Danio rerio: one gene and its partners. The protein of the gene in region 4 binds, or shares a complex with, the protein of the main gene of each other region. Links are inferred from orthologs where the notes say so. Each region holds a gene or a part of one and is shown on either strand. Other genes may lie near its edges.

The links.
Region 1: ddx39b (region 4) and zgc:103692 share a complex: the UniProt entries of both Homo sapiens proteins name them as parts of the spliceosome. The link is inferred for Danio rerio from reciprocal best matches to the Homo sapiens genes DDX39B and C9orf78.
Region 2: the proteins of ddx39b (region 4) and thoc2 are in contact, whole or in part, in a cryo-EM structure (PDB 7APK), measured with the Homo sapiens proteins. The link is inferred for Danio rerio from reciprocal best matches to the Homo sapiens genes DDX39B and THOC2. Residues at the interface, in NP_004631.1 of Homo sapiens: Leu282, Asp283, Val284, Leu285, Glu286, Phe287, Asn288, Gln310, Asn311, Phe312, Pro313, Asp335, Phe336, Gln337, Arg338, Arg339, Arg355, Ile420, Ile424, Glu425; in NP_001075019.1 of Homo sapiens: Lys550, Tyr551, Met553, Lys554, Arg555, Leu556, Thr557, Lys558, Glu559, Tyr582, Gln586, Lys589, Tyr590, Asp591, Asn592, Leu593, Pro596.
Region 3: ddx39b (region 4) and thoc3 share a complex: the UniProt entries of both Homo sapiens proteins name them as parts of the transcription/export (TREX) complex. The link is inferred for Danio rerio from reciprocal best matches to the Homo sapiens genes DDX39B and THOC3.
Region 5: ddx39b (region 4) and chtopa share a complex: the UniProt entries of both Homo sapiens proteins name them as parts of the transcription/export (TREX) complex. The link is inferred for Danio rerio from reciprocal best matches to the Homo sapiens genes DDX39B and CHTOP.
Region 6: ddx39b (region 4) and thoc7 share a complex: the UniProt entries of both Homo sapiens proteins name them as parts of the transcription/export (TREX) complex. The link is inferred for Danio rerio from reciprocal best matches to the Homo sapiens genes DDX39B and THOC7.

The regions. Positions count from the first base shown.
Region 1 is NC_133180.1:33,917,012-33,921,042, forward strand, and holds zgc:103692 (telomere length and silencing protein 1 homolog), read right to left. Parts: upstream 2,801-4,031; 5' UTR 2,716-2,800; coding exon 2,636-2,715; intron 2,450-2,635; coding exon 2,390-2,449; intron 2,274-2,389; coding exon 2,222-2,273; intron 2,100-2,221; coding exon 2,029-2,099; intron 1,948-2,028; coding exon 1,870-1,947; intron 1,777-1,869; coding exon 1,579-1,776; intron 1,460-1,578; coding exon 1,323-1,459; intron 563-1,322; coding exon 464-562; intron 369-463; coding exon 274-368; 3' UTR 123-273; downstream 1-122. UniProt on the Homo sapiens protein: Plays a role in pre-mRNA splicing by promoting usage of the upstream 3'-splice site at alternative NAGNAG splice sites; these are sites featuring alternative acceptor motifs separated by only a few nucleotides. May also modulate exon inclusion events.
Region 2 is NC_133189.1:13,039,634-13,043,133, reverse strand, and holds part of thoc2 (THO complex subunit 2), read right to left. Parts: intron 593-3,500; coding exon 464-592; intron 123-463; coding exon 56-122; intron 1-55. UniProt on the Homo sapiens protein: Component of the THO subcomplex of the TREX complex which is thought to couple mRNA transcription, processing and nuclear export, and which specifically associates with spliced mRNA and not with unspliced pre-mRNA.
Region 3 is NC_133189.1:29,781,857-29,784,838, forward strand, and holds the end of thoc3 (THO complex subunit 3), read left to right. Parts: intron 1-112; coding exon 113-274; intron 275-1,657; coding exon 1,658-1,758; intron 1,759-1,828; coding exon 1,829-1,992; 3' UTR 1,993-2,482; downstream 2,483-2,982. UniProt on the Homo sapiens protein: Component of the THO subcomplex of the TREX complex which is thought to couple mRNA transcription, processing and nuclear export, and which specifically associates with spliced mRNA and not with unspliced pre-mRNA.
Region 4 is NC_133194.1:29,766,605-29,770,104, reverse strand, and holds part of ddx39b (DEAD (Asp-Glu-Ala-Asp) box polypeptide 39B), read right to left. Parts: intron 3,184-3,500; exon of another isoform or gene 2,134-3,183; coding exon 2,002-2,133; intron 1-2,001. UniProt on the Homo sapiens protein: Involved in nuclear export of spliced and unspliced mRNA. Component of the TREX complex which is thought to couple mRNA transcription, processing and nuclear export, and specifically associates with spliced mRNA and not with unspliced pre-mRNA.
Region 5 is NC_133194.1:26,321,443-26,324,942, reverse strand, and holds part of chtopa (chromatin target of PRMT1a), read left to right. Parts: intron 1-604; coding exon 605-755; intron 756-2,813; coding exon 2,814-2,958; intron 2,959-3,500. UniProt on the Homo sapiens protein: Plays an important role in the ligand-dependent activation of estrogen receptor target genes. May play a role in the silencing of fetal globin genes.
Region 6 is NC_133186.1:21,694,329-21,698,295, reverse strand, and holds the start of thoc7 (THO complex subunit 7 homolog), read right to left. Parts: upstream 2,801-3,967; 5' UTR 2,770-2,800; coding exon 2,751-2,769; intron 2,134-2,750; coding exon 2,013-2,133; intron 1,880-2,012; coding exon 1,752-1,879; intron 1-1,751. UniProt on the Homo sapiens protein: Component of the THO subcomplex of the TREX complex which is thought to couple mRNA transcription, processing and nuclear export, and which specifically associates with spliced mRNA and not with unspliced pre-mRNA.

The DNA of each region.
Region 1 (4,031 bases), on a different chromosome or scaffold from region 4:
GATTGAGCATTTATGTGGAACTGTTCTACAATCATTATATAATTATGAAATTGAACAATGCGCTAAATTTATGCAACTAAAAGTTTTTCTGTTATAAAATATTTTCAAAAAACTACCAACAATTTGGGTGAAGTTTTATTGTAAAAAGCTTATCGTAAGTTACAGATATTTAGCAGAGACATTTTTTTAAATATAGTACAAAGTATTTACATCTTTCAGTTTACAGAAAGGAAAAACAAACTCCATCATGGTAACTGAATTATTAGTGAAGGATTAATATCGTCGGTTCATTTTCTTAAATTTCTCATAGTGGTAGTCATCTGTGGCCTTCTCGTTATTGGGTCTCTTGCGGAAATTGGGTGGTGAGGCTGGAGACCGAAAAAAATACACCAAATCATATGAACATGAATACATTAAAAACAGCAGGGCATAAAAGCTGAAGAGGTTTTCAATCTGATCTTACCCTCAGGTGCTGGTTTCTCTGTGTCTCCTACACGCAATGGCCTGGCTTTAGGCTCTTCTCTGTTGCGTCTTTGGGGCGCGTTTGAATCCTCATGGTAGACTTGACAAAATAGAACAGATGATGACTTAATCTTTCTTCTTTGGGATAGCAAATGTTTTAAATATGGTTCACATTTTACTGTTTACTTATTTGTTAGGCATAGACAGAGCTGTTGATAAAAGCTTACACTTGAAAACAGATATGGTTAGTGAACAATTTTGAGAAATCAATCATTGGCCTTTTCTTTGTACAGTTTTGTTACAAAATGTATTTTAAGTAAATGCTCTGCTTTTGAAATTTACATTAATTTCCGTTTTTTTTAATATTGAAAGATAAATGTGTAAATTAGGCACCAAATCATCGTATTAGAAAGAATTGTGAAGAACTGGACTAATGTTTGCTGAACAATTCAGCTTTACAATGAACAATTTACAACATTTTTTTATAATCTTAAAAACCTGATTATGAAAAAAAGAAAATGAGTGCAATTACAGACTGCAAAAATATTTCACAAGATTACATTTTTAAAGGGATACTTCTACTCAAAAGTTTTTTAATTCTGCCATCATTTAAATCAGCCTTCACTTGTTCAAAACCAAAACACAAAGAAGCCATTGACGATGATGGATTCCAGCAATCAGTTTTCTTCAAAACATCTTCTTTTGGGTTCAACAAAAGAAAGAAACTAATAACTGTTTAAAACCACATGAAGGAGAACAAATGAAAAAAAATGAACTATCCCTTAAATGTGAGCATAAGAGACTTAAAAACATCTTACTGACAAACGTTTGAACAAACAGTTGTTTGTGTGTACACTTACAGCGATTATGCTGGACGTAATTGACCGCAATGTTTGTGGGAACAAAGGAGGTCCCGCTGTCTTTCTTCTTATTCCTCTGCTCAGCTAGCAGCTTTGCTTTGGCTTCTTCTGTGTTGATGATATTCTTTATCTTTGCGCTGAGAAGAAAGAGAGAAAAGAGGCTTTTAGGTTGACATCAATCATTTGTTTGTTCTGAGCCACCAGTCTAGAGAAAACAATAACTGATGTCCATGAATTAGCTTGTGTCTTTACTCACTCAATCCCCAGATCCACCTCTGGAATTCCGCTCAGCATCTGATTGGACAACATCTCTTCTGTCTTTTTGGCAGAGCTGACGTTGATGTTCTCTGGAAGCTCATACAGGAGGTCCTCTGGATTCTTCACCTTTACCTTCTGCTCCTCTGCCTCCACCATGCCTTTCTTTTTCTTTAACTCTGTCTCAATGTACTTCATCCTGCGTGAAATGAGATGCATGATGGGAGAGGCTTTAAACATAGTGACAAAACCAGCAATGCAGAGAGTATGTGATGTAGAAGCATGCACTTACATGTCAGCATCTTCATCTCTTCTGTTTGTCTCGGCAGAAAAGGATGTACCAAGATTGAGGTCATTTTCATCCACTGTCCTGTAACAAAAGAGGAAGTGTCAAGATGCAAATATAGAGACATCTTGAAATGAAAAGCTAACATGTTTACTTAATTCTTACATGTCTCTGCTTCTGTCTTTCACTTTCTTCATGTCAACAACACCTCCAGTCTTCAGTTTAAATGGGTCATCCTATGACATAAACATGGAGGGACAAAATGTCAAACCTCTATTAGCTCATAGAGAAGAACAAAGTTACACTGCAAGGCTTGTATTGTAGTGCAAAATGTAGTTTGATTAAAATAATAAAACACCTCAAGCTCAGCCTCTAAAGGAAGCTTCTCTCCAACAAGTAACGTTGCAATGCTGGACAAACAGAATGGAAAATAGCATTTATTATTCTCACTTTAATTACACAATGAAAAGAAAGAAAAATGTAAACACCACCAACAGTAACAACCACAAAGCAGCTCATGACCAACCTCACTCCATGCTGCCTTTTTCGCAGACTCTGTAGCTCCTTGGCTTCATCCAGTTTTGACCTGGGTAAACATATAATAAAAGTAACATCTTTAAATAGTTTTTCACATTCAATAGGTTTCTGTCCTCTCTGAATGCATGTACAAACTAAACAAGTCAGCTGCATTAATCTTTTCTGCTCGTTTTACCAAGCGGTTTACAACAGCTGTGTTTACTTTGTTTGGCCTGAATGTGTTGAATATATCTACCTGACTACGAATTTTGTTTCATCATCTTCCTCGTCGGATGAATCCTCTTTCCTTCTTCTAAAATTTTTACCTGGTGGCATGACTTGTTTTTAAAACTCGTCGAATTATTTACTGATAAGCGTTACGTTACCCCTCGTCCGTCTGTACGCAACGGTGGCGGTCTATGTTTAGTGACGGACCTCATTCTCTAGAAACTTCCGCTCGCTGGCATCACATTTGTCGTCTTAACAGTTGATCTCAGATCAGCTTGCCTGTTTTTTGTACAGCCGTTGAACGGCGAAAAGCGGAATGATGAGACTGGTTCTAGATCAGCTGCTTCTATGACACGATACAGAAAAACAAAACAAAAACGGCGTAAATTTAATAATAAACACTCTATACGATAAATGAACGTGTAAAACAAGCAGTATGTGTATTTTATAATCGAAGTAAATAAAAAATTATTTGATCATGCTAAAGAACGAAATGCGCTCATTGGCTGTGGTCAAAGCCGTGACGCACGCTTCTGCTGTATTCAGTATGGATGCTGCTTAGTAGTAACGTTACACTGCTTCCCACCACTGTTACAAACACCTCCGATTGGCCTAAAATGACTATCTATGAGCGATATTTTTGTTTCTGTATGACAGGTAAATATCTGTTTCTGTCTTTCCTTTTGCTAAATCGGACTGTCACTGTTGTTTGATATGATAACATCATGTCGACTCAGCGTATGAATAGTGTCTTGCAGACCGAGTGGAAATATGGCCTGTTTATTCTGCAAGATCGTGATGTTAAACAGCTTTTAGGTGGTTCACCGTGACGTATTTGAGGACTGCTGTGTGTTTATGAACATAATAAACACCGAAGACGAAGAGGAAAAACTATTTGTTTTGTTTTAGATATTATGTTTTAATTCAGATGAATTGTTTGCATTACATTCATATTAACGCGATTGTTTTCTGCGTCGTTTCGGACTTCAGTTGAAGTTAGTTTTCTAGTGAAAATTTGATTCATAGAATCATGTTTTTTTATATCAATTATTGTATATTTCCCTTGCTGTAATGGAGGTGTTGGTACGGGACGAATGTTTTTTTTTCCCATCAACTGACTAGGCGAATGAAACAGCAATTTTGGCCTCTTAACAGTTCTAGGCAGAAACATAACACACATTGAGCAGATATGCTAGATAGATACCATCCTCAATACTCTATAAATATTTTTAAATTTTTATACTTATAAAAAAAATATTATATAATATGGTATATATTTCCGTTAATATCTATTCAATGAGGGCAGATTTTTATTTATAATTCTCACTGGTAATGAGAGTGTAAGGTTCTTATGGGGACAGTTTATCAAATAATTTTGTCATCATTTCATATTAATGAAAGTTTATGGTTTCTGACTTTTTGAT
Region 2 (3,500 bases), on a different chromosome or scaffold from region 4:
CGCTAGCTCTCGTGCTCTTGGCAGCAGGCAAAACAAATTTAAAAGATAGGCTTACTCATTCCATTTTCATCTTTGCGGCGTTTGGCTTCCTGGCTCATCTCGCGATCGCTGTTCAAGTAGTCCTATAAGCGTGAAGGGAGAAAGACAGCACAACTTAAAATAGTGCTTTTTAGGCATACTAATAACTGCTGTAAAACTCTTAAAACATGAGGGAATGATATGGCATCTGGACCAATGAAAGAAATATGCTGGTGCATGAGCATGAAGGTCAAGTAATTTAAATAATGTATTTAAGTGTGAATTAAGCTTTCACAAGTGGGATTTGCAATGTTTTGCTTCAATCACAAAGCATGATTCAGCAAAAGGCTTTATTGAGAATTTGTTGGTTTAAGCCTTGTAAAATGTCCTGCTCAATAACATTTGTGATGCTTAAAAACTGCTTCCTCCAATACAGAGGACTTACTCGTTTTCGGTCCTTCCGGTCTTCTTTCTTTTCCCTCTCTTTGGAGCGGTCCCTGGATTTATCAGACTCTTTCTTCTCATCATCCTTCTCTTTGATCTTGGACAGGACTGTGGTGTGGTTAGGATGGTGCTAAAGGACAGATGCAAAGATGATAGAAGGTTAATGTCTTACAGATGGAGCACACTAGCCCTCACAGTGGCCTGCTGCCTTTCATTAGCATGCCCCATTAGAGTTGCACCTGACAATCTGACACACCGACAGGAAGTCCAAGCACTCTATTAAAAGCTCAAGGCCCCTGCTGAACTTACATATGCAATTATTTCATATGACTCACATCAGAGCTACAATGCGCCAAAAAACTGCATGTGAAAAGTGTTCAAGAATTGTGCTAGCTAGCATAAAATCAAAAAACAATCTGTCAACCATTTGGTTTTACACAACAACGCTGCTACTACCATCTATGAATGCATCAAGTTATTATTCTTTAGTAATCAGTGACTTTCAATAAAAAGTGGTATTTAATAAACATGTATAAAATGCTGCAGCTTGATAAATTAGCTTCATCCAAATGGCCTTTAGGGTTATGGGCACAAAAAAAAACACCTGATCTCTTCTAACATGATTAACTGAGCAGTATCTTAATGTAACATTTCAGTGCTCCCCAAGAATAAAACGTATATCTTCAGAAAATCTGCAAACTAGAAAAACAATAACAACATATTCTGTAGGAACTGTACAACAGAACATAATAAAGGTTTTAAAACCTTGACCTTTCCAAACCATCATCCCATGCCTAATTACAACACCACAACTATGTGAACATCACAGACCAAGTGCTATCATGGCCACAGGACAATCACACACTTTTAGAACCGTAGGCATAATTCACCAAAAAAAAAGAAAAGAAACTTACTATTTACCCTCAAGTGGTTCTAAACCTTAATTAGTTTTATTATTCTGATGAACATTAAAGCTATTGTGAAGAAAGCTGAAAACCTGTAACCAGTGATCTCCCTAGAAACAGAAAAAAAATGAAAGCCAAAGGTTACAGGTTTCCAGCTTTCTGGAAATATCTTTATTGCAGTATAACAGAATAACATCCAATATTTATCAGCGGCAGTTGTGGCTTAATGGTTAGAGAGTTGGACTTGGGATTCAAAGGTACATTTTGGCTACTTTTTTTTTTTTCTTTCAATAATATTAAGTATGAACATACTACTCCGCTCATGCTCACAGACATACATACATATACATATATTTATTCAACAGTTCTGATTCTTGAATCTCATTGGCTAAAAGCCATGTCATGTCGGCATCCATCAGTCTGTCATTGAGTGAGCAAAAATGGTTGACATTGTCCATCCATAAGATGGCAACAGAGACCACATAACTCCTTAGAGGAGGAAAGATCAGCATATTTTCAAACTACAGCTGATCAAAACTTTCTAAAATTAGTGAGTGACATTCTAAGTCAATCTCTCTCTTTTTTTATGTTGCGGTGCTCTATTTATACCATAGTAATTGCAGTAGATTGAGTGTGATGGGACTCACATATCAGAAATGTATGCAATTTTGTGTTGGCCACTCTTCGTATAACCCCAAGTTACTTTTTGGTTGGCAATCTGTTTGTTTTTAATGAGTCTCCTGTTTTTGTTACTGCAGACTAGTTACAAGAAAGAAATTGCTGCATTTGTTAGCTTTTCTCCTTATCGCAAACACAACAATAATCTGGTAGTGATTGCGTTGCTTTGGCTTTTGCAAGGTTAATTATTGTGATCTCCCTTTTGCAACCTAAAAAAACTGGCAAATGTCTCTAAAACTAGACCGATGGCCTTTTATGCTTTTCATCCTTATAATCTTAAAATGTGAGCTAAATCATGTTTTGTCATCCCCTTAGACATTACGCTAGAGAATCATTCAAAAACTAGCTCTAAAGTGACGTTGGTGAATTAGTAAACGGCTGTTCTGATGTCAGCTGCTGATGTGAAGGAATGGCGGAAGAAAGTAGTTCCCCTTACAAAAGGATATTTAGACTTGATTTGCTGTTTTATATACACGATTATGCTGTCGAGCTGTTGTAACTCATAGTAGTGCGATGTGGCTGTACATCGTCACTGGTGGGAGAGTAAGACACATGCCTCCCACCAGTGCCTATGTACAGCCTTATCTGCTACTCGTGTGATATTGCTCATATATATATATAAAAGATTCAATAATGTAGGCAAGTATGTGGTTTCAGACGAACTGTAATATTTTGCACATTTTGTATGTCTGTCAAACACACCTGATTCAGACAAACTCTAACTAAAAGTTAGATGCCATTCAAAATATTTACAAATGTAGTGGAGTAAAAAAATACAAAATGTTCAATACAAAATATTTAAAAATGTTGTGATGTACACATTAACTTTAATACTCAGTACAAAGTAACCCAAAATATACTTAAGTAAAATAACCTATTACATGTACTCTAATACTTTACATTAAGGATTCCAAACCTTTTAGGCCATATGCCACACCAAAATTGTGTAATTTCACTTGCATCTACATGTAAACCCGAACTGTAAATCATCCTCCACTGTCACTTATTTTGCCAGTGTACACTCTGAATTCTCTCAGGTTGAAAAGCCATACTTTACAACACTATATCTATTAATGCCTTGACCTCCAAATTCACCTGACTGGAACCCAACCGATACATTTTTTGTTGGGTTCTCACTACCAAACTGTAATGTACAGTAACTGGAGACCTTTTCTGTTCTGTTCTAACTGATATCGGATAAGTCATATTGTTACCACCTCAAATTAATGCCTCACTGCAAAGGTGTTCACAATGCATCGCAGCCCTTACTCAAAAATCAGCATATTGTAGTTATCGTGTGCTACCAGTAGCACACGATTACTATAATATGCTGATTTGCTGCTCAAGAAACATTTCTTACTATTAACAATGACTTTCTTCTGTATTTGTGTGTATATAATTAAGTAGTAGCATTTTTCAAGTTTATTAAAATCACTTAATACTCTGTCATTTAAA
Region 3 (2,982 bases), on a different chromosome or scaffold from region 4:
TATATATATATATATATATATATATATATATATATATATATATATGTATATGTGTGTATATATATGTGTGTATATATATATTTGTCAATCATATGTCATGACTCTGTTACAGTTACCCTGAACTGAAGCTCATCCAGTCAATTAATGCCCATCCATCCAACTGCATCTGCATTAAGTTTGATCCGACTGGGAAGTATTTTGCCACTGGAAGTGCAGATGCCCTGGTCAGCCTGTGGAACGTGGAGGAGCTGGTGTGTGTGCGATGCTTCTCAAGGTCAGTTTTGACTTTTTTAGATTATATATAAATAAAAATGTACATTTTTTTTTTTTTATAACTTTGAATTATCTCACAGTGTTTAAATTTAAATTTTATATTAAAGTTATAGAACATTATACAACAAAGCTAAATATAAGTTTTGTAGTTTTAAGACCAAATTTCAGTTGACTGTCTCAAATGAGTGACTTCCCTTTTTAATAATGAATAAGCTAACAAATAGTAAATTTTTATTTAATTAAATATTTAATTTTATTTTTTTTAAATTGACTTAATTTATATTTCTATGTTTGACTGATCTCATAACATTTACTCTTTATTTAGCTTTTTTTACGTTTTAAAATTTTAAATTATAGTTACAATAAAAACTAAAATGAAACTAAATGGGTTAAACTGCAGAATTTACTAATAATGAAATTTAAAAATAACAACAGTTAATAAAATTCTAAAAACTAGATTTTATGTCAGTGAAAATATTTATTTTTAATTATTAATAAGTAGTGTATTTAAATGTGCCATATTCTGCATTGGTTTAATAAGTTAAATTGTTCTCTGATATCTACATTGTAGGTTTATGGCTTTGGTAAGTTAAAAAATAAATCTCTAGAAATGATTTATTAAGCTAATTCATTAATCCATACAAATTCCCATAGAATCAGAAGGTCCATGATTGACCATATATGGTTCATCTTGTGAATATTAATGAGCTCCGCTGCACCTAGAGACACACACACACAGCATAATGTACAGTACGCTGAACATGGAGAAATATAAACCCAATCAGAGTAATGTTAACCTATTTTGCTCACCAGATCTGTTGTGGAAAAAGGCTAAATTATAATTAAACTTGACAAAAGAGAGTGATAGACATGTTTTGCGTTGTATTTTGAAGTTACAGTCAAAGAAAACACACCCAGGAATTAATATCAATTTGAATGACAAGTAGCTTTACATGCAAATGCGGAGGACATGGCCCATGACCCTCGTCACAGTTTGTTTTGTCTTCTGATTGGCCTGTTATCCACTGGAGTTTTACATTTGTGGAAATTCGTGGATCTTTTATTATTCTACTATGTATTGGTATACCCAGATTTTCATTAAAGGGCACCTTTAAGTGATACAAAAATAATGCTAAGATGATGTTGTAATGCATTTACTTTGTGGTTATTGCATATGGAGTTAGAAACAAAAAATATAATGAATTTTAATCTATCATCAGTATTTATCAGTTTTACATGAGCACATTTCTAAATTTTTGCAAAGCGAGAGAAAGTTTTTTTATGAACCATTCAAGTTCATTGATTAATCACACTTTTAAATTATTATGTCTCGCATAGTTTTTATTTAAATTTTCTTTAAACTATTTTGTCTTGAATCCAACAGACTGGACTGGCCTGTACGAACTCTTAGCTTCAGTCATGATGGTAAAATGCTGGCATCTGCATCAGAAGACCATTTCATTGACATAGCAGAAGTAGAGACAGGTGAGCAGATGCATCTTTACAACATGATGAAAGCTTTACTCGCATTTTACTAACCGTCTCCTGTCTGTAGGGGAGAAACTGTGGGAAATTCAGTGCGAGTCTCCAACCTTCACTGTAGCCTGGCATCCGAAGAGGCCGCTGTTAGCATATGCCTGTGACGATAAAGAGGGCAAATACGACAGCAACCGAGAAGCGGGCACCGTCAAACTCTTCGGCCTTCCCAATGATTCCTGAGGTCCGTTTACACATATTAAGATAAAATTGAGATGTTATTCGAGCAAATTAATTTTCATTAGACTTATTGTTTTAAAGTAAATTTGTAAATAGTTAAAAGATATTCTGATGTTCTGCTCTCATATTAGTTTTTGGTTTAAAGTACAGGTGTAAATAACTACTGCCTGCAGCTCCTCTGAATATGAGTTTTTATTTGTCTTTTACCAAAATATGACTGTGTGATAATACAAAAACAAAGTTTAATGTAGAATCTGTGCAGAATACTTAAAAAAAATCTTGTGATTTAGTACAGCACGCTGTTCTTGTTTTCAATAATTGACCATTGCTGTTTTTGAGAAAAATTGAGATAAAACTGTAATGCTAGTTTTAGAAATGACCAGCAGAGGGCATCACATGCTCAAAGAAAAGATGTCTCATTGCTAATACAGGCATTTTTGAATGTGTGTTTGTTTTTATAGCAATAAATTATGTACTTTATTTTTAAAATGAATACTGTTTCATATTTTTCTTGATTTTAAAAGCCACATGTTGTCTTTTTGTGTGATCAACTCCAAAATACTGTTGGAAAACAAAGCACCCTAATTTTAGCGCTTAATTGACTATTTTATGTACTCTCTGCTATAATGTAGTTTTAGTGTTTTTGTATGTGCTCAAAACATATTTATCATTTATTTGTTTATTTAGTAATTTTAGTGTGTTTTTGATCTGATTCATTTATTAATAAAAAAAAAACAACAACAGGAAAATATATCGGTTTTAATTTTAGACATCAACACTGCAAAAAAACTAGAACTTGTTTGAATTCGTCGATTGAGATAATTGTAATGGATTTTCTTAAATTAAAATAACAATGTATATAATTCACCTTTGCTAATCAGGTTAAATAAAGATAATTTTATTGGCTTGATTTACATATAAAGTGTTCAGATCAAGAAAAACATTTCAGTTTCATCTGAAACTTTCTTCTTAAATTGGCGTTTTTCTCAATTG
Region 4 (3,500 bases):
GCTCATGTAGTTGAACAGCCTCTAAACACTGCCCTCTGTCCGCTCAATGGCCGGACACGTCAGCTTTGTGTGAAACGGAAAGCAACTGCTCTCCTCGTTTTTCTCAATTATCTTATTATCTGATGATGTCTTAAGGCTGATATGTACTTCTGTGCCAAGCGCACGTGTATACTCCAGCCACCTCTCAAAAATTTTCCAACAATGCGTAGCGCAAACTTTGTGATTGGTTGGCTTGGTAGCTGTGCTGAGTGTGGGCTGGTTCAAGAGCTGCGCAAACCCGTTGAAGTGAGTGTTTACAAGTGTCGAGTCCTGTGAAGGAGCTTCAAATGGAAACTTTTGTTTTGTGTTTACCCTATACATAATGTTGCTGCACATGCGCCGGTTACCACTTCTGAACGAGCGAGTTTTAGCTACTTGTACATTAAGGTAGAATTAAAAAAAATATGGAACACTAGCAAAGAAATACAACACAGAAGCACATAAAAACCTATTGCCAGCTAGCGCTTTGGAAGTGTTATTGCAATAAAACACAAACAGTTCGCAGAAGTATAAATGCACGACTATACGCAAGGCAGGCACCGTGGGTCACACCAAATTCTCGACACAGAAGTATAAAACAGCCTTTAGTTGCACGAGCATTTCATCCACTCAAAATAAAAAAAAAAAACTAAACATGCACATTGTTTTGTGCAGCATCTTTAAGCTTAACAACAACTTTAAGAGCTAGGTTCTGATGTAATATTATTGCACACCAACAAGCATCGGGACCCACACATAATATCTCCCCTCAATAAAATCAGGACAGAAATGATCAAAAGTTGACAGAAGAGACACATTTAAATGGCAGGTCTAAACGATAATATGTCTGCTTTGTCCACTTGTGATCAGATCGACAAAAACAAATCTTAATACCAGGTGTGAACAGGGCCTAAGATGCATTGTTTTGAATCTGATCACAAACGGTTGACACTTTCGAGTAGGTGTAAATGGGGGTTAAATTATTTTAAGCTTGTCTACTTTTAAAGGTAGACAAATATGCATTTTAACAGTTTTTAAAAATAATAACTATCATTGTTTAGCAATGTGATCATCCCATATGGGCAATTGCATTTGAAAGATCACATTAGACCAGCTACTGACTAATAAATGTAATGGTGAGTAAACACACCAAAACAAGATATCTATGCTTCACTGCACAGTACCAAGGTATTTATTCTCTTGTTTACCAGAAAACACAACTTCATTTATTCAATAATATTTTTTCACACTGAATGTTCCCACTAAAGTGATACAAAAAGTCAAATAAACAGGAAAAGTTCCTAAAAATCCTATCACGAATGACCACAACAGAAAGAATGTAATACCAATGTGTTTTCTCAGACCACTTGTGATTGAATCACTGAAAATCATATAAATACATGGTCACCATGCTTCTCAACCACATAAGTGGAGGACCAGCAGCTCTGCACTTTTCCATGGCTATCCCTGAAACCGCCTACTACTCGGTAGGTACTGCATTTTAGCTTATACGTACTACTCAGCAATTAGAAAAGTAGATTGTACAGTATGAATGTCAGTAGTTAGAACTCGGAAGTACTACATTCGCTATTTTGTCATGATCACGTGAGTTGCGTCACTTCTCTCCCATTCATAAACTTTCTCGTGGGGCATCATGGGATAGCGTAGCATCCATCCAAATCTCGCAGGAAGTAGTAGGTCATCGCATACTGATTTTCAAATTCTATAAATTCGGACATACTACTCGGCTCGCATACTGATTTTAGCGTACTATATTGTATAGAAGTATGTCAACGCAGCCGATGTCTCCTTAACCAAACACACCTGAATCAGATCATAAGCTCATTAGCAGAGACTGAAAGACCAGAAATGGACAGACAAGAGAGACATCCATAACATGCAGTGTTGGTGGTCCTCCAAGAACATGGTTGAGAAACACTGGCGCAAGACATTTGCGTGTGTCCTTGTGGACTCTCAAGATACCTGGTTGAACTCCAACACATCCAGGAGATCAAAGAGCTTCCTGTTCTTCTCGTTGTCCTTCAGCTTGACGTAGTACTGCTGGAGGCCGTGAAGTGTCAACTTGGTCTCGTCGTCCACAAAAATTTCCATCGGCTAAGGACAACCAGTGGAAGCAGGAGGGAGGAAGGTGAGGAGGGGTGGAAGAGGAGTGTGCAGGTTCACGGGGTTAAGATTGTGTGACGATGCGTACAGGAAATTTGACAAGACATGGGTGGAGCAGATAATTATGTTACAAGGGTGTGAAAGAGGAAGTGGTATTTATGACAACGTGATGGCATGGGTGTCAATGGGGGACAGGGAAAGAAAGAACACCAGAACACAAAGAAAAACAAGGACAAAAGAAGTATAACGATTTTAGCAAAGGACAGCAGAGGGGGGAGGATGTGACAACGAGAGGGAGAAGATGGTGTTAGAAAGGAGATTTATGAAAAAGCAGGAGAAAGGGAGGGAAGAGAAGGGATGGGGGTTAGATTTACCCTCCCCTCCCATCCCAAGCCAATGAGGACACAGGACAGGACACAACACACACACTGTCTCTATGCGTTGATAAATGCTACCAGGCTGTCCTAGACTACTTTTAGCTATATCAAGCCTGAAATCATATCTGTGCTATTTCTGAATATATGTTCCAAAACTACACATCCTCCACAGAATGCAAAGTCAAACTAGTTATCGATGTGGAGTTTGGAACTGACTTTAAAATATATGTAGTATGGAGATATGAGTACTAAAGTCAACATGAAATCAAAACTCACCCGATTTGCTTTAAGTATACATTCCTGTTCTTATTGTGCATCATTCATCAGTACGTTCTTTCACACAACAAAATATAACTTGCCTCTACAAACTTCTTTTGGTTGATGTAACCTATGTCACTCCACATAACTTCACTGCAATTTGTAACTTTTTTACATTTTTCAAATTGGTGCCTTATTTATATGAATTTGTTCATTTTTTCCCCGATTGTAAATTTGCTTACGATCTGCTTAGCACTCAGCAAAGAACTTGTTTTAACATTATACACATTCACATTAGAATTCATAGCTTTTTTTACTCAGCACGAGTCAAAATTCACAGTCTACCATGTAAATGCATGTTATGAAAACAATTAGTCACTTAATAGGGTGTTTCTCAACCACGTTCCTGGAGGGCCATCAGCACTGCATGTTTTGGATGTCCCTTTGTCTGTCACACCCATTGCAGGACTTTCAGGCCCGTTAACACTAGAATGTTTTACTTTTAAAATGCCGTTTTAGAACGGAGACGATTCACATCCACTGGCATCTCTGAAAAGTTCTCCGTCCACACTATACTGCCGAAAACGCACATCACGTGATCACACACAGATTCTGGCATGTACTGCAGCATAAGTGCACATCTGAGCTCCAGGCAGTCAGTGGGTGATCTGCGAGCACCTCCCCGAGTAAGAGCAGTTCTTGTCGAATCGTTCAAAAAGTATC
Region 5 (3,500 bases), about 3.4 Mb from region 4:
CTAATGTTTTAACGCATCTTAGCATTTTACAGCAATGTTTTGCGAGAGAGTAGTATAAAGATGGTACAAAGTAGCACTTATTTTTAACACTATTAAATGCTACAAGATCCTCTAAATTAAATCATATTGGTCTGTAATATGAATGTGTGTTGGATTTTAGTCTTGACAGACATCGATCAAGCCATGTAGCCTATTGCATTAGCTGCCTCTTGTGGCATTGACAGATTGATGCTTATTTCAACTCTTCATTCTATAATTTCAGTGTTTAGGATCTTTAAAAGGGTTCTATTCCGGACTAATGTGGATGTAGCCTCTATCGCTCTTCTGTCATCCCTCTTTGCTTAAAACCATATTCCAAGCATTCAGTTTAACCCAAACTGCTGATTTGTTGGGGTGTCTCTACATGTAACAGAGAGAGAGAGTAAATGACAGCACATGTGGTCTATTCAGGCCATTACTAGATTGCTACAGGATCCACTGTAGCTGCGTCCATGCTGTGCGAAATGATTTGATTTGGAACCATCCTTTCCTCGTATCCCCCTTTCCCTCTTCCTTCTTTCTGTCTCTCTCTGTCTACCCTCCTCCTCCTGTTGTGTCCTAAAAGCTTTACAAACATGCTGAAGAACAAGCAGCCGACAGTGAGTAGCATCCGGGCGACCATGCAGCAACAGCACATGGCCAGTGCACACAACCGCCTCCTTGCTCAGCAGATGGAGAACAGGCCCTCTGTGCAGGCTGCACTTCATCACAAACAGGTAAGAGGACAAAAAGTGCAAACCACCGGAAATGGTAGAGATGTCAATGTCATGGTACACAAAGAAAAGTGTTGAATTTACAGAAATGTTATGATAGTTGTATTTATTCTGTTCTTGGTTTTGGTTTAATATAAAGGTTTGTGTACATTTTTGCTTTTGCTTACCATCAGTATTTTGACACCAATGAAACCAGCAGCTCTACATTTCTCTTGCTCTGTGTATCATTCTTCGTTATTAGCAAGGTGTAGCTGCCTAGACCATTTTATGCCAACAAGTCATGTTTTACTGTTTATTCAGCAGTTCCACTAGTGTGAAAAAAAGCAACAAACTCATTGGTTGACCTATTTTTAATGCTGCGCATCAAAAAGAAAGAAAAAAAAACGTTCATGCATATGTGTAGTCATTATAAGTTTTCCTGAATTATTAGCTCGTTTGTATGTTTTTTTGCCACATACAACGACGACAAGCTGAAAAAAAAAACGTTGCTGTCACTAAGTTTTATTTATGGAGAATTCCATAAATATTCCAAAGCACTACAGTGTTTGAGTGTTCTGTGTTTGTCTGAGGTAATTAGTCTACCAAAAATATATATATATGTAATGTAATGTGTAGTTGTATCGCGCATTTATTGTGTATGGCCGTACACCCAAAGCACTTCACAATCATTAGGGGGATCTCTCCACACCACCACCAGTGTGCAGCATCCACTTGGATGATGCGACGGCAGCCACAGGACAACGGCGCCAGTGCGGTCACCACATACCAGTTATTGGTGGAGTGAAGAGACAGTGATAGAGCCAATTCAGTAGATGGGGATGATTGGGAGGCCATGATCGTAAGGGCCGATTGAGGAACTTTGGCCAGGACAACGTGGTTACACCCCTGCTCTTTACGAGAAGTGCCATGGGATTTTTAATGACCACAGAGAGTCAGGACCTCGGTTTAACGTCTCATCCGAAAGACAGTGCCCACTGACAGTGTTGTGTCCCCTTCACTTTTACTATGGCATTAGGACTCACACAGACCACAGGTTGAGCGCCCCCTGCTGGCCTCACTAACACCACTTCCAACAGGAACCTAGTTTTCCCTAGTGGTCTCTCATTCAGGTACTGACCAGGCTCAGCCCTGCTTAGCTTCAGTGAGTAACCGGTCTTGGGCTGCAGGGTGATATGGCTCCATCCAAGCTGAATTTCATCAGTCAGTTCTTATCACGTGACTCGTGGTGTGCTCACTGCATTGATTCAACTGAGTGCGTCTGGAAGAAGAGAGCTTCACGCCCCTTGGGCGTGCAAGCTGAGCAACTTCATTGGAAATAACGTGATGTGCGAATGACCCCTGAAAGGCTGCCGTCATTTGCAATCTTTAGCAGTTGATCTCCTTGCACAGACATGGTAGATTCACCTGATTTGATGACAAATAGGTTGTGGATTCATTCCTTGGCATATCATAGTCCTTCTGTTGGCATTTTCCACTCAGTAAAGAAACTTTCCAAAGACGTGTTTCTTACTCATTTTGCTGCTTGTGGGTTAAATTTGGGCGCTCAAGTGACTAAGATGTAAGCGAGAGAACACAGTCATTTTTCTAAATAAAACATAGTCTAGACTCAGATAATAAATAAAATGGAAATAGTTAATGATTGCGGCCTGGTACCAATAGATCCACTGGCCACTACTGGTCCACAGCCCTGTGATTGAGAACTGCTGTAGACAATAGAAAACAAATATTGGTGCTAATAATATACACCTCAAAATGGTTAAAAATATTAAAAATAATTTTATTCTAGCCAAAATAAAATAAGACTTTCTCCACAAGAAAAAAATATTATAGGAAATACTGTGGAAAAATCCCTTGCTTGGTTAAACATCATTTGGGAAATGTTTGAAAAAGAAAAAAAAATCACAGGAGGGCTAATAATTTTGACTTCAGCTATAATTTTTTCTGTATCCTTTAATACATTTTATATTAATACAATATCAATATGAATTATTATTTGTTGCTTGCTTAGCGTTTTTTACAAAGTCCGCACAGAGATGCAATATTTTTTATATCCCACTGTAGAGCCTGAAGCAGCGTCTTGGAAAGAGCAACATCCAGGCCAGACTGGGTCGACCCATTGGCTCCTTGATGCAGGGTGGTGGAAGAGGACGAGGATTACGAGGAAGAGCTAGAGGTGGTACCATGAGAGGAGCACTCTCGTTTAGAGGTGAAAGTCTTTTCATGACCCTAATGTTTTTTTTTTTCTTTTGTGACTGCTGTCTTGCGTTCACTTAAAAGCCACAGATCCTCATTATACATGTATGTAGACTCACTGAAGTTTTAAATTCAGAGATGAATTTGTCTTTCCTTCACTGGAAGTGCAGTGTCAGCTTTGTAATCGTTCTTTGTTTTACAGTTAACTCTTTTAAGACGCTGTCACACTTGAGCCTGTTTTATACTGCAGGGTCAAGTTGTGTACCCAACCATGCACTTTGCCACCGCTGTTTTAAACATATTTCTGTTTTTTGTCTGTGCTGCTCTAGCAATAACAATTCAAATACACTAGCTGTCAGTGGGTTTCGCTGTCAATTTTTTGTTTTGAGATTACACCAAAAATGCTTGTGGTTGTACTGTAGCAGAAAGTCAAAGCCAGACTCATCCATAGATAAGAGACGTTTCTGTGAACGTTCAACTACTTTATTCATAAAATAAATTAGGGCTGCACGATATTGGAAAAAATTGACATTGCGATATTTTTTTCCCCTGCGA
Region 6 (3,967 bases), on a different chromosome or scaffold from region 4:
ACAAAAAAATAATAACTATAAAAATACAGAACACTCAGCAAAATAATGCCAAATTCAAACTGCATGATTTTAGCCCTGATTTTTGACTCGACAACAGGTTTCAAGAAATTGCAAAAAATGCCTGAAATCACAGGCAAATAGGTACTCATTCACGCAAGTATCAACCACACAGTATGAACTATCAAAGACACAATCGGAGAGAATCGGTGATGTGTCGTAGACACATGTGAGATATTCAGTGTGCTAAACAGCTGGATCTGTCGACGATTCAAATCATGCCGTGTGAAATCTGCAGGCCAGCGGGAGGTTGGGGAACAAGTTAAAAGTGCTTCTATTTTGTCTATTTGGACCCCAAAAAATGGAGGAACAACTAGTGTAAATTTGGCAGGAGCACCCGTTTCTGTTTGAAGTGTCATCTGAGCAACCGGGTCGAAAAAGAAAAAGTTGAGGAGAAATTGCTAATTCCTATTAAAGGCCAAGTGAGCAAAATAAGTAAATTTTCTACCCCACTAAAGGCTTTATTCTCATTATATAGTTCATGACAAAAGATATACTACATTATTTCCATGTCACTTCTTCTGTGCTTGGTTTTGAGATGTAGTTTGTAGACCGGGACAAAGTTGTCGCCAATTCTTCCTATTCTAAATCATACAGTGTGAACCCCCCGTTGCCAATCCATCTTGCAGGGTAAACAAAGCAGCGATGAAATACTACCCCCGACAGTCATACAGGGTGAAAACATCTGTGACATGACTACTTTGAAAATCATGCAGTCTGAACTCGCCATAAAAATCACTGATAAAAGGCAGATTGAAAAGTTCTGATTGAAAATCAGAATACAAAACAAAATACTGCACTTTTGAATCCAACTTGATTCGTGAACAAGCTGAATTTTATCAGTTAGCCAGTTAAATCAATTCACAAATTGCACTGAACAATTAATTTGCGAATTGGATAGACATGTTTACGAGTCAACAAATAACTGATTTGAATGATGTTTTCAGTCTGAGTATCTCCCTTGAATGATTCACTGATTCAAATTATTTGATCAAAGAGAGTCTACGATAAACAATTCACAGATTTAACACACTGATCTGAATTTGGTGTAGTTTTGTAGCCACCAGAGCAGAAATGAAGGCTGCAGCACTCTGTATCATTTTCTATTATGCAAGGTTATTTTGCGATATTAGAAATAATTGAAAAAGCTTACACAAACACCCACCCTTTTATCCTGTAGGCATGGGATGATAACCGTTTTCAAGGTATACTGCGCATTGGAAAAGTAAAGTCCTAAATTTCTGCTTTACTCTTGCTACGGTATAAATAGAGTTCAGAACAACAGTATCTCCAGCAGAAAAGATATCCAAAGAGGTTGTTTTAAATTGGAAAGAAATCAATGATTCATTTTGAATTATTTAGCCTGGCATATTCACTGCTCCAAAATACTTTAAATCTTTATCAAAGTAAAATATAGTGTTCAAAGTTTTTGTTTTTACCCAGACATTTAAAAAGAATATAATTCAGAGCAGTAATCACAATACCATGTGTCCGTGATATTTTTATCCAAGGTTATAATATTGTCAGAAACATATACCGGCCCATGCCTAATATCCTGCCCTCAAAGTAATATTTAATATAGTCAAAAGATGTAGATTAAAACAATGAGTGCAAACAGGAATGTGTCTCCCTTGTCAGCATATAATCCAATCAACCCAAAAGAAAAAAGCAGGGAAGTCAACAAGAAGTCTTACCAATATCGGTATAGATTCCTTCATAATTCTCCATTTCTTTCAGGTTCATGTTGTACACAAGCAAGGTTTTCCCCATGGAGAATTCACACTGAGCCAAGGACATCATCATTCTTTGATACTGAGACATCCTGCAGACACATATGAATGATAAAGTAATTACACCCAAGGTCGTGGTAACTAATCAGTGGAATATTTTAAAGGAAAAGAAAAAAAAAATCTTATCAAGTCAGGTATATAAAGTTAAACCAGAATGTAAATTACCCCTCCTCTGGTGAGAAACTGGAGTGGCACCATTTGGTGAAGCTCTTCATGAGCACATTAATGCGTCTGTCATCTCCAGCTCCATCTCCATCGATCAGAAGACGCTTCCGAATAACCTCATCTGTGAGGGAGGAGACATAGATATTATTTAGTCTAAATATAGGTCTAAATAGCATAGCACAGATATTATACTGTAAATTGTATTCAGTGACTAAATGTGGAACAATATATATATATATATATATATATATATATATATATATATATATATATATATATATATATATATATATATATATATTCTGCTTGATTATTTTTGAAACAAAGTAAATCTCTAAATTCAGCAAAAAATCAGTTTATTTTCCAACCTTGATGCTTGATTTAACTGATTGATCCAACATTGAAAAGTGTCAGAAGGGTGCCATCAAATTTTCATATTATCGTATTTACATATTATACTTACCAATATATTTTATATCACTGTAATGCCTATCCAAAACCAAAGTCAGCGTAATAAATTATACTTATACATCTTGTAACTTGTTTTAGTTAATCAGTTTTAGCATGTGGCTAACTAACTGTTAGCTAAGACTCCTCATGTAGACATTTCAAAGGAGTTCGTTTAGTTTCCAGGAAATAAAAACATGGACGTACGCTACTGTAATAATTCCTTCAGATTTGCTACATAAATTACAATTACATGATAGTTAAGAAAAATAAAACAAAGGAAAATCTTACCATCAGTAATGCTACCCATTCTCCAGCAGGCTAACTGGACTGTTAGAAAAAACTTTATTGTCAGGCGCGCGCGGACACGCAAGGCATCAGCGCCCCGCCTCTGTTGCGAAGCAAACCCGCCGAGCTCACAACAGTTTTCTGAACGGCTAGCTTTTACTTTATTATTACAAAGTCATTTAAATGTTTTGCTGAAAACTCGTTTTAGACTAGTCGACTGATAGCGTGTCTTTCAGAAATACTGTATTAGTAGGTAGTTAGTTTAGTTTTTGACAGTATTGAGAAATGAGATTCATTTTCGCGAATCGGTTCATTTGAACAGTTCGTTTTAAAGTGTGGTTCCACAAGACTCGTCAATTTGTTTGAGCAATATCGTCAGTTCAGTTATGAATCATGATTTAGCTTTTTAAAAATACATTAGGAATCTGAAAAAGTTTTAAGTTAAAAACTATTGTCTAGTGTCATTTATTAGGCAAATAACAATCTAGCCAGCACATTCAATTTCTTCAGTCAGAATTTGGCCATTTCAATAATAAAAAATAATAATAATAAAAGCTTTACAATTTTCTAGCCTTACATGTTAAAAAGTGCATTTGAAAATTAAGGATAACAATAGCCTAATTAGTATTCAAATCAATTTTACTATAGGCCACCCTTTTTATTGCTCATTTTTAGTTTCAAGATAAGTTCCAAGATTTAGAACAAAAGTTACTTGTAAAACGTTTTCTCTGTTTACAAACAGTAGCGAAAGATGACGTCACTTATGTCAGATTGTGTGATTTCCTACACAGCTAGATGTTGATCATCAAAAACATTTGTTAGCATTGACCAAGACTGATTTGCTGAAGTCACACCGAAGCAACAGCCAACAGAGGATTATGCCTTTTTAATTGGTTATTTTTACTATTTATGATGGCATGTAGCAGTCAAAATACGACATATGAGCTCATGAATGGGAAAAATTCTGCACATTTGTCAGTAAGGGTTTTTTTTTCTGAACCCCCTCTGGCTACATAGGCTACATATAACATAGTATATTATGAAATAATAAGACGTTTTAAAATCCATCTTTCTTTTGCTTCGTCAGTTCAGTTTGTGCCATTATGATTCAGTTTATGAATACAAAGCTTTTTACGTAGATATGAAAATAATTCAACATGAATTAAAATGTGAATTTAAATATTTTAAATTTGCTTGACTGAGAATGAGGTAAAGTTGAT